Linked DNA regions of Callithrix jacchus. The protein of the gene in region 3 interacts with the protein of the main gene of each other region in a biochemical or structural test. Links are inferred from orthologs where the notes say so. Each region holds a gene or a part of one and is shown on either strand. Other genes may lie near its edges.

Evidence for each region.
Region 1: the proteins of MAGI3 (region 3) and CRHR1 form a complex in vitro, tested with the Homo sapiens proteins (2 studies listed by BioGRID and IntAct, with this or other methods). The link is inferred for Callithrix jacchus from reciprocal best matches to the Homo sapiens genes MAGI3 and CRHR1.
Region 2: the proteins of MAGI3 (region 3) and ADRB1 interact in a test that uses a peptide from one of them, tested with the Homo sapiens proteins (2 studies listed by IntAct, with this or other methods). The link is inferred for Callithrix jacchus from reciprocal best matches to the Homo sapiens genes MAGI3 and ADRB1.

What each region holds. Positions count from the first base shown.
Region 1 is NC_133506.1:86,534,961-86,539,055, forward strand, and holds the start of CRHR1 (corticotropin-releasing factor receptor 1), read left to right. Parts: upstream 1-1,294; 5' UTR 1,295-1,587; coding exon 1,588-1,620; intron 1,621-4,095.
Region 2 is NC_133513.1:106,982,670-106,986,971, reverse strand, and holds the start of ADRB1 (beta-1 adrenergic receptor), read right to left. Parts: upstream 2,802-4,302; 5' UTR 2,533-2,801; coding exon 1,105-2,532; 3' UTR 1-1,104. UniProt on the Homo sapiens protein: Beta-adrenergic receptors mediate the catecholamine-induced activation of adenylate cyclase through the action of G proteins. This receptor binds epinephrine and norepinephrine with approximately equal affinity.
Region 3 is NC_133508.1:151,599,121-151,602,631, forward strand, and holds part of MAGI3 (membrane-associated guanylate kinase, WW and PDZ domain-containing protein 3), read left to right. Parts: intron 1-2,772; coding exon 2,773-3,378; intron 3,379-3,511.

The sequences.
Region 1 (4,095 bases), on a different chromosome or scaffold from region 3:
TAGCAGTGCACAGGATGCAGGGCAGGTGGGTTCAGTTTGATTTCAAAGCCGATTGCCCGCGCCTCAGGTGCTTTGGTGTACCCTATAAGGATTGCATAGGCCAGGCAGCCTAGGCTCTGCGGGTGAAGATTTCTCTACCTCCCAGTGACTCCTCTTCTCCCTTATCAGCTCTGATAGGAGAGAGGAAGAGGGAAGAGGACGTCAAAAGTTCTGTTCATCCGGAAGGGCTGGGAGTTACTTCCTGGGATGGGGAGCTCGTGAGCCAATCCAGAAGACGACCACGGGGTCTGGCGGGAGCCCCAACGCTGCCCTGAAGACTCGGCCGGGAGGGGGCGCTGTGGCCTCCCCACCCCCAGCCCGCAGGCTCCTAGCCGGGTTCGCCGCGCTGCAACGCAATCCGCACCTGGCTTTACCCAGGGCTGCGTTCAGTGCCCACTTGTCCTGCAGGGCACCGCCGTCTCCCTTTCATCTTGGGGCTCCCGGGTCCAAAAGGTTCCCAGATCCAGCCCCTTGCCTGAACCAAAGTGGGCAGGCACTCAGATTGTAAGATGAACGAATGAACGAAGGAACGAACTAATGAATAAGGGCTCATCCTGCAGAACGTTCGCGTCTCAGCGCGCACTAGGCACGTCAATGCCAAAGGTGCTGGGAGTCGGGCTCGGAGCCCGGCGCGGCTGGAGTGGGGGCGGCGAGGAGCTCCCGCTAGCCAGCTGCAGGGCGGGAACTGCCCAAACGCAGGTCGCAGCTTCCCCGGGTTCTGCGGCGGCTTCGCTCAGTGGGGACCGCCCTGTTCCACCGCCACCAATAGCCTCGCCCTCATAAATTCACCTGAGCACCCCCGCCCAAGTGCCCCCGGCTCCCCTGGACTTCCCAGGCCCGGACCTCTGCCCGGCGGGAGGTAGGAGGCTGCATCCTCTCCTGCCACCCCCTCGCCCATCCCGGGCTTCTCCCCGGGCTGCGGCGGCCGCCACCGCCGCAAGCACGCCCGGAGGACTGCCGCAAACCCGGGCGTAGGGAAAGGGGATCCTGGCGGCGGGGCGCAGGCGGCGGGCCAGGGGAAGAGGAGGGAGCGGGGAAGGAGCCGAGGGGCGAGGGGCAGGGAGGGAGCCGAGGGGCGAGGCGCGGAGGAGGGACCGAAGGGGAGGAGAGAGGAGGGGAGGGGAGAGGGAGAGGGAGAGGGAGAGGGAGAGGGAGAGGGAGAGGGAGAGGGAGAGGGAGAGGGAGAGGCGGGGGGGAGGGGGAGGGGAAAGGGGAGGGAGGGGACAAGCTGGGCGAGGGGGCGGGGAGCCAAGGCGAGGAGCCGCGCGGACCTTGCGGGAGGCGGCAGGGGCTAGGCTGGCAAGAAGCGGCCTCCCGCCGGGCTGAGTCGGGAAACGGCGGCCAGACTTCCCCGGGAAGGGGCGAGCGAGAGCCGGCCGGGCCGGGCTGCGGGGACGGGGAGCGCGGAACCGGGCGCCTCCTCACGGGGCAGCCACCGAGGAGTCCGGCCGCCCACCGCGTGCTGCCCGAGCCCGCAGCAGCCCGCCGGCCCCTCTGGGATGCCTGGGGGACCCGGGCGTTCAGGACAGTAACCGAGCGAGCCGGAGGATGGGACGGCACCCGCAGCTCCGGCTTGTCAAGGTAAGAGCCCGCCGGCCCGCCCTCCAGCGCGAGCGCCCCCAGCCCCGGGCAGACGCGGGACAGGCCGGGCTGTGGGTGCGATGGAGGAGGGGGCGCCAGGAGAGCGGCAGTCAGGTCGGGGAAGGCTGGGCTCTGGGGCAGCCTAACTCTCTGGACCTTTGGAGCCAGGGTTTGGTGGGCAGGGGGAGACTCAGGTGAGAAAAGAAATCGTGGCTGAGCCGCCGGGATGTTGGCGGAGGAGGGGTCTGCCCACTCGGGTAGCCGTTTCCGCGCCAAGAATCGCTCTAGGCTTTGGGGCAGACGCTGGGTTCCGCCTCCCACGCCCTCCCTGCAGACCCCGGCCCCAGGACGGGAGGCTCTGAAGCGGGGTTCCCCGCCTCGCCCCAGCACCTTCTCATAGCTCCCCGACTCCGCCCGCCCCCGCCCCAGTCCCGGGAGCGCATCCTGCTCCTTCTCCTCGGCTGCAAGCTGCGAGTCCAGGGAGATTAATGCGGCCCGCGCCTGCGAACCCTTGATCAATATCGCAGTCTCGGGGGAGGGGACCGTGCCTCCGGCGGCGGTTACCATTCCCTCGCCGCGGCCCGGGAGCGCAACACTCGCTCTCCGAGCCTGGGCACCGAGATCCCCGCGCTGCGCAGCCTACCCTGCGACGCGGATCGGTCGCTGGAGTTTAGGAAAGTCGCCAGACCTTACGTCCAGCGTCTGCCCGCTGAACTTCGTGGGCGGCGGGGGCGGCCCAAGGGCCGTGTGCGCCCGGGAAGGGCCGGGAGGCCGGCAGTCCGGCCCGCCCCTAGTGCCAGGCGTCACTTGCAGCCCCGAGCGCTTTCCACAGCGTTCTGGTCTTGCAAGGTGTAGGCGCGCCCGCTGCAGCCGGCCGGAGGGGCGGGTGGGCCTCTGCGCGGCTGCCGGGAAACCCCGTGCCGCACCCGCCTGGGCACGGCCTCGCCCGGGGCTCGGGATCCCTCAGGGTCCGCTTCAGCCACAGACGTAGACGCCAGCCTGACCCGGTTCGGGGCATTCAAAGCGATTACATTAAAGAGACTTTGGTGGATTTGGGGGAGGGGTGCGGATTGGCGGAATTTCATTTTTCCATCAGTTATTAAACCAACTGTACGTATAGCGGCTTACCAAGTGGTTTGAGTTAAAGCACCAAGATTTTTTAATGAGACGTTACAAGTTACTGAGATTTTTCTCTAATCCTGCCCCTCCCCAGATATTTATAAGTTGATTCTTGAAATGACTGAGGGTTGGTCTCATTGAACCCACATCCCCTCCCCTGTCTGTTACCTGAGGGCTAGAGATGAACTCAGAGATTATTTTCTGGGCGTTCAAGGAGACAGACGGATGAGGAAGGTGAAGAAAAACATCCAGAGAGGTCGAATAGGTGGCACTGAATGGGAATATTTTCCAAAAGTCTTGTGTGTATCGAAGCCTGGTCTAAATGCACAAACCAGTTAGACCAAATTCAGTCTTTTGAACGGATTCAAAGGATTGAAATGTGGGTGTTTTTGTTTTTTTTTTTTTTCCAGTTTACACTGAAATAGATCAATGTTCTTTTTCTGGCCTTCTTTAGAGTTGTGTGCAAATCTCTGTTTAGAATGATCATGTTTTTCTTTAAAAAAAAAAAAAGGGGAGTCTTTTTATTTCTGTTATTCCTACCAGATAGTGGGGTGTGTGCTCTTTATGACTGGCCTAATAAACTCAGTCAGCACTCAGTAAATACCAAATGAATGAGGCTGAGCCAGGGAATGGCCAGCGAATGCTGGTTTCAAAGCTGGTTTCTATTAAATAGTTGCTTTTTTCTTTTACTTATGTAGCATGTACAATTCACTGGGCATTATTCTACCTGCTTTGCAAATATTAAGTCATTGAGTCCTCCTAACAGCCCTAGAAAGTAGGAATTATTCCTGAGACACAGAGAGGCTAAGTAACTGGTTCAGGGTCACAGAGCCAGTGAATAGTGAAGTCAGAATTCAAACCTGGGCACTCTGATATAAGGCTTTGTTTTGTTTGCTTTTACCAGAAAATATCTTTTTTTTTTTCTTTTTTTTGGGATAGGGTCTCACTCTGTCACCCAGGTTGGAGTGCAGTGGTGTGATCTCAGCTCACTGAAGCCTCAACCTCCCTGGGCTCCAGTAATCCTCCCACCTCAACCTCCAGAATAGCTGGAACCATAGGCATGCACCACCACACCCAGCTAATTTTTGTATTTTTTATAGAAGTGGGGTTTCACCATATTGCCCAGGCTGGTCTCCAAACTCCTGGGCTCAAGCGATCAGCCAACCTCGGACTCCCAAAATTCTAGGATTACAGACGCGAGCCACTGTGCCCAGCCATTACCAGAAAATATGTTAAGCCCCTTAAACCTCACCCTAGATCTTAGCCAGATGAGAGCCCAGGTAGTTTTGCCAGCATGAGAGTATAAATCTAGGGACTTAGTGTTCATCCCAAATCCAGCGCTGTCCCCAGCAAGTC
Region 2 (4,302 bases), on a different chromosome or scaffold from region 3:
TATTTATAATATGGATACAGTTACAGTACCATGATAAAGGAGTATAAAAAGGTATTTTCCCAATAAATCATTAGCTCTATAACATACTAGACAACAGAAGTAGAGCTTGAATTTTATTTTAGTTTTTAAGATCTGCCCACCACTTCCCCAGTTAAAAAATATTTAACTTCTTTTTGTGCAAGTAATGTTTTCTGTGGAATTTGTAATTCCTAACACTGTGCAAAAATGGCATTTTGAACCACTCCTTTTTTTGTTTTTGTTTTTATCCACATGTGCAGTAATCAAAACTGTCTCTCTCTCTCTTTTCATGTCCTGTCTTAAATTGACAAGAGTCACATGTCACAGAGAGAGGCTCTGCGCCTGGTCCTTCCAACTAGTATTGATACATAAATAAGCTGTTTAATATAAACAAGTCTTTCTATCTGCTGTGCAAATGCACAGTGTGAGGTAGAAATCCCGTAGCCTGACCATCCAGGCGCGCGGGGGATCAGAGGGTTTGCCCTACACAAGGAAAGCAAATTGGGGCTTGTTCCAAGAAGAGCTTAACATTTCTTGAAACGTGATTTTTTTTTTTTTTTTGCATCCATCCTTTTCGCTTTCATAACAGCGGAAACCATTACTTAGGAATTAAAATGAAATTTCTCTGGAAAGCAAAAGGAAATAAATATGCCTTGATAAACTGTCATTCTCCTCTCTCTGGCTGGTAGACTGCCCCTGTTCCTGGGACAGGGTCGGGAGCCAGGTTGATCGGATTTTAATCCCCTCCTAATGCTTCTTCTCCCTTCCCCTGCCCACCCAGCTTCCACTCCCATCCTCGTGGAGTCAAAAACCACCTGGGGGGAAAAATCTAAAGATGCATCACAGGCACACACAAAAGAAGGCCGGACCACAAACAGAAGAAGAAGGAAAACAACCCAAGGAACATCAGCAAGCCACTCTCCCACCCCTCCCCAAACTTTCCTTTTTGTGCAACGGTCCGTGGCTTTTCTGTTTGCCTTGGATGATTCAGACGAGGTTTGTGGGCTTCGAGTTCACCTGCTTTCGGTCTTGAGTAAACACAGATCTCCGAGATCCCCCGGGAAGCCGTTCCGGGGCGCCGGGCCCCTACACCTTGGATTCCGAGGCGAAGCCGGGGCGGCACGGCTCGTCCAGGCTCGAGTCGCTGTCCGCCGCCGCCCCGCCGTTGCAGCCGGCCCAGGGCTCCAGCAGGCGCGCGGGCGGCGTGGCCCCGACGACATCGTCGTCGTCGTCGTCCGACGCGGCCCCGGGCGACGGCGGAGGACCGGGCCGGGCCAGGCAGCCCGAGGCGCGCGGCCGGTCCCCGTGGGCCGCGTGGCGCCGGCTGGCGGCCCTGCGCGCGCAGCGGAGCAGGCGCTGGAAGGCCTTGCGGAAGTCCGGGCTGCGGCAGTATATGATGGGGTTGAAGGCCGAGTTGGCGTAGCCCAGCCAGTTGAAGAAGACGAAGAGGCGATCAGGCACCAGCTCGCGGTGGAAGGCCTTCACCACGTTGGCCAGGAAGAAGGGCAGCCAGCAGAGCGTGAACACTCCCATGATGATGCCCAGCGTCTTGAGCGCCTTCTGCTCGCGCAGGGCCACGAGGCGCGAGGGCCGCCGCTTGCCCGCGCGCCCGTTGGCCAGGGGGGCGGCGGCGGCGGCGGCGTTGGGGCGCGGGGGTCCTGGCGCTGACGGCGGCGCGGGCGCGGGGGCGGGTGAGGGCGGCCGCTCCGGGCCGCCGAGGAACCGGCGCTCGCAGCTGTCGATCTTCTTCACCTGCTTCTGGGCCTCGCGGAACACCCGCAGGTACACGAAGGCCATGATGCATAGGGGCACGTAGAAGGAGACCACGGACGAGGCGATGGCGTAGGCCCGGTTGGTGACGAAGTCGCAGCACTTGGGGTCGTTGTAGCAGCGGCGCGCCTCGTCGCTCTCCGCCCGCCACCAGTGCATGAGGATGGGCAAGAAGGACACCAGCGCCGAGATGGCCCACACGGTGCACACGAGGCCCCTTGCCCGCGCGCGCGTCAGCAGGCTCTGGTAGCGGAAGGGCGACGTGATGGCGAGGTAGCGGTCCAGGGCGATGACACACAGGGTCTCGATGCTGGCCGTCACGCACAGCACGTCTACCGAGGTCCACAGCTCGCAGAAGAAGGAGCCGTACTCCCAGCCGCCCCACACCACGATGGTGGCCCCGAACGGCACCACCAGCAGCCCCATGACCAGGTCGGCGCTGGCCAAGGACATGATGAAGAGGTTGGTGAGCGTCTGCAGCCGCGGCGTCTTGGCGATGGCCACAATCACCAGCACGTTGCCCGCCACGATGAGCAGCACGATAAGCGCCATCAGCAGGCCCATACCCGCCGTCCACTGCTGCGACAGCGGCTCGAGGCCTTCGCTGGCGGGAGGCAGCAGCGAGGCGGGCGGCGACGCGGGCACCAGCAACCGCGCCGCAGTGGCCGCGCCGTCGGGGAGCGGCGCAGCCGACGACAGGTTGGCGGGATCGGAGGCGCCCAGGACGAGCGCCCCCGCGCCCATGCCGAGCTGCGGAGGCCGGGGGCGGTGGGTGTGGCGGGGCTGGGCAGTGGCTAGGGAACACCCCAGGAGCCCGGGCGGCGGGGTGCGCCGAGGGAGGTCGCGGCCGGGTCAGGACAGCCACGGCGCGGGGCCGGAGGCATGGGCGCCGGGCGCCTTTCCCGCCGGATCCGAGCGCTGTCGCTGTCGCCGCCGCCGCCGCCGCCGCTGCCGCTGCTGGAAGAGCCGCCGGGACCTCAGCATGTTTCTGAGCGCGCCGGGCCCGCAGCTCCGGCACCCAGCACCCACCCCACCCCGCTCCCACCTCCCCAAGCCAACCCCCGGGGCCTCGCGTCAGGTTCCTGTAGCCAATCGGGGCAAAGGCACGCCCCCGTCGGGTCTGCCCCCCCCAACTCCCCGCACCCCACTCCAGTTGGCAATTGAGCCGCTCCTGAGAGTCCGGAGCTGATCGCGGAGCTAGTGCCTCCCGTGCGGCCCGCGGGTTCCTGCGGACGCGCCCCTTCCTGCGCCCGCTGGTTCCAGGTCCCTGTTCCGCGCACCCCCTCCCGCGCCCGGCTCCCCCGAGGGGCCCCGCCCCCTCCCGCGGCCCCCAAGTGCTCCCGCAGCCGCTGCTGCGCCCCGTTTGCCTCCCGCGCCAGGCTCCCTCCTGCGCCCCTGCTTCCCCAGCATCCCCTCGACCTGCAGTCCTGGGGGTTCCCTGCGGCAGAGAGCGCTCGCTCCTTGGAGCGAGGAGGGGACCTTGGTGTTCTGGAAGCGCCAGAGCGCCTGGGACTGCTTGCCCGCCGGGCATGAAGGAGTTTGCCCTGCGAGCTTGGTTGTGGCATGGGGCAGCCTAGCAGGGTGTGTGTAAAACCCTTCCCCCGTCAAGAGGCGACCCAGCCAGCCTGTGTCGTGACAGCTTGGGGGATCAGAGGTGGGTGTTAGTGGTTAGAGGAAACTTCCCAGCAGAGCGGGTTGCTGGAGCCAAGGGCGCATCTGTTCAGAATGCTCTCTGGGCGCTGTTCTTGCAGGGATCTTCTGTTGAACCTCAAGTGCAGTGGAAGTGGAAAGGATGCGAAGGTTTGTGCATCTAACAGCTAACGCTGAGGACCCGCTGGCATCGTATTCACTCCTCAGTCCCAGCTAATGAATGTGTGAGCAAGATGCAACGGTGTGTGCTCATGATAAAGGGAGAGGCTTAGGGAGACAGAAACGTTGAGATACAGAGCAAACGGTACGACTGCGAGGGGAAAAAAAACATGCTTAATTACATTTTAGACTTGTCAGTGATAACACCTGTATTTTGTGTTTTATTACTCTTGTGATTTTGTAATTTGAGCTAGGTCAGTACCAACACAAAGGTACTGTCAGTTTCGGCTGACGTCATGAACTACCATTTCAGATTCCTTGGTCTGCTGCTTGTTTTCTCCTTTTCCCAAGTTCCCAGATTCTCAAAACTCTGGGATTAGTTTTGGAGGGATGAGACAAGAACACATATAAATACTCCAGAGGATTAAAATCCGAAAGCATTTAAAGTTGTATCTGTGTTTTTTTGAGTTGGCAAATGAATCGCTTTGAAATGAGTGAGTTGTTAACCTGGCGAAATGGATTATATTGGGGTGGGGGCACAGCCATGAATATTCAGTGCGGCAGGACTGCAAGCCCCTTCTCTCATTTGGCCCCTGTAGTGTCCTCAGTTCAGGCTCGAAAAACAAAATATCTTTAATTGGGTCCTTGAGAAGTAAACAGCTTCTAATTGTTTATGTAAGGGTGCATGAAAATGTTATATAATTC
Region 3 (3,511 bases):
AATACAATATTTCCATGAAAATTCTGGGAGCTTTAACACCAGATTGAGTTTTTTTAAAAGCCATCAGAACAAATTAAAGCACCCTTATTTAACCTTTTAAATAATCATATTCAAATAAAAGCAAATAGATGAGACAACAGGGGCCAAATTTTAAGTCAGGGCTTTATTAAAAGCTACCCAATTGATGACCATCAAGTGGTAATGATTCTGCAACCAAAACAGTCATACTAAATGTAAATCAGAAACGCAAAACCAGTTTTTATAGGGATTTATTAAGCTGACTTCTCAATGTCTTCAATAATGCATTGTTTGTGTCTGTTGAATTTTTTGTTATTTGTTTTGCCTTTTGAAATCTGATTTATAAATCAAATTCAAAATCTCTGCAAAAGAAGGATATTACAAGAAAATATATTCATAAATTAACATCATTCTGATCTTCAGCTCAGTATTTCTCAAACTAGAATGAAGTTTTAAAGTACATTGTAATCAGTGGCTTTTGTGGGTTGTTTTTGGTTTTGTTTTGAGACAGAGTCTCACTCTTGTTGCCCAGTTTGGAGTGCAATGACACAATCTCAGCTCACTGCAATGTCTGCCTACTGGGTTTGAGCAATTCACCTGCCTCCGCCTCCCGAGTAGCTGTGATTACAGGCACACACCACCACGCCTGGCCAATTTTTTTTTTTTTGAGACAGAGTTTTGCTCTTATTGCCCAGGCTGGAGTGCAGTAGCTCAGTCTTGGCTAACTGCAACCTCCTGCCTCGTGGGTTTAAGTGATTCTCCTGCCTCAGCCTTCTGAGTAGCTGGGATTACAGGTGCACATCACCACACCCAGCTAATTTTTTATATTTTTAGTAGAGATGGGGTTTCATCATGTTGGCCAGGCTAGTCTCGAACTCCTGACCTCAGGTGATCCACCAGCCTTGGCCTCCCAAAGTACAGGGATTACAGGTATGAGTCACCATGCCCAGCCTAATTTTTTAATATTTTAAAAATGTTAGCCAGGCTGGTCTCAAACTCCAGACCTCAGGTGATCCACCTGCCTCAGCCTCCCAAAGTGCTGGGATTACAGGCATGAGCCACTACATCCAGCCAATAGCTTCTTAAACTCAATAAATAAGGCGGTATTTAAAGATAGACTGTTTGACCCCATCAAAAAGTGGACAAAGGTTATGAACAGACACTTCTCAAAAGCCACATTTATGCAGCCAACAAACATGAAAAAAAAGCTCAATATGACTGATCATTAGAGAAATGCAAATAGAAACCACAGTGAGATATCATCTCATAGTAGTCAGAATGGCAATTATTAAAAATTCAAGATGCAATAAATACTGGCACGGCTGTGAAGAAACAGGAACACTTTTACACTGTTCGTGGGAGTATAAATTAGTTCAACGAATGTGGAAGACAGTGTGGCGATTCCTCAAGGATCTAGAATCAGAAGTACCATTTGACCCAGCAATCCCATTACTGGGTATATACCCAAAGGAATAGAAATCATTCTACTATAAAGTAATTCTGCCATAAATCATTCTACTATGCATGTACACACATGTTTATCGCAACACTATTAACAATAGCAAAGACAGGAACCAACCAAATGCCTGTCAATTATAGACTGTATCAGGAAAATGTGGTACATATACACCATGGAATACAATGCAGCCATAAAAAGAAATGAGATCATGTCCTTTGCAGGGACCTGGAAGAAGCTGGAAGCCATCATCCTCAGTAAATTAACACAGGAACAAAACTAAACACTGCATGTTCTCACGCATAAGTCGGAGTTGAACAATGAGAACACATGGACACAGGGAGGGGAACAACAAACACCAGGGCCAGTCAGGGGTTGGGTAGGCAATGGGAGAGAGAGCATTAGGACAAATAGCTAATGCATGTGGGGCTTAAAACCTAGATGACAGGTTGATAGGTGCAGCAAACCACTATGGCACATGTATACCTATGTAACAAACTACACATTCTCTACTTATATCCTGGAACTTAAGGTAAAATTAAAAAGAAAAAAAAAGGTATCAGGTGTGAAGGAGGATTTCTGGCTATAGAGACTTGACAGGATTCTTGCTGAATGCAGGTTAAGGTGGTCAGTAATCACCTGGAAGATGGTGCGGAATGAGGACGTAGATTATATATCAAGAATGGGTGATTTTGGCTAAATCAACTTAGCAGGATTCTTGCTAAAACTGGGCTTTGAAGGACATGCCAAGGATGAGGCCTAGTGAAAAAAGAGCTCAGAGGAGCCTGTCTAGAGTTTGGTTAAGGACAGCCTCTTTGTCAGTGTATGTATATATGCACAGATACACATATAGATACACATATATAAATAAAATTAGTTGATTCATAAGATAGAAGAAAGATAGACTGTACAAGTAGTCAGTGGAGTTACTTGCTCCTCTTCTGTGTACCAGATACCTGCTACAATGTGTCTAGCTTTGCATGGTCACTTAGATATGACTCAGAGGGTATACTAACAATGATAATATGAATTATCAGGATTTTTTTTTAATGATTCACTTGAGCTTGAAGTCAAAATTATTTTGCTACTAAAATAAGTAGGATTTTAGATACTTACACGTACATTTTAGAGAGGAATTAGAAAAGGTTTAATGTCTGTATTAGAAGTCTGTCTTTGCAGCAGTTAACAGTAAGATGTTTCAGATTTAGTTGCTAAATAGTAGTTATTTTTCCTCCTCTGGCAAAAAAAAAAACTTATTTGTTGATTTTAATATTTTTAACATGATTATGTTTTACCAGGTGATGTTATTGTAGACATCAATGGCAACTGTGTCCTCGGTCACACTCATGCAGATGTTGTCCAGATGTTTCAGTTGGTACCTGTCAATCAGTATGTAAACCTCACGTTATGTCGTGGTTATCCACTTCCTGATGACAGTGAAGATCCTGTTGTGGATATTGTTGCTGCTACCCCTGTCATCAATGGACAGTCACTAACAAAGGGAGAGACTTGCATGAATCCTCAGGATTTTAAGCCAGGAGCAATGGTTCTGGAGCAGAATGGAAAATCGGGACACACTTTGACTGGTGATGGTCTCAATGGACCATCAGAAACAAGTGAGCAGAGAGCATCCATGGCATCGTCAGGCAGCTCCCAGCCTGAACTACTGACTATCCCTTTGATTAAGGGCCCTAAAGGGTTTGGGTTTGCAATTGCTGACAGCCCTACTGGACAGAAGGTAAAAATGATATTGGATAGCCAGTGGTGTCAAGGCCTTCAGAAAGGAGATATAATTAAGGAAATTTACCATCAAAATGTGCAGAATTTAACACATCTTCAAGTGGTAGAGGTGCTAAAGCAGTTTCCAGTAGGTGCCGATGTACCATTGCTTATCTTAAGAGGAGGTAAGTAATAGCACAACATAGAAAAAGTTCCAGTGTTCAAGCATTTATATCTATTGATTGTCCTTCCTTACAGTTTAGAGGATCTTTTCCCTGCAGTCTTAGATAGTAATCAGTGCACATTTTCCTTAAGGTT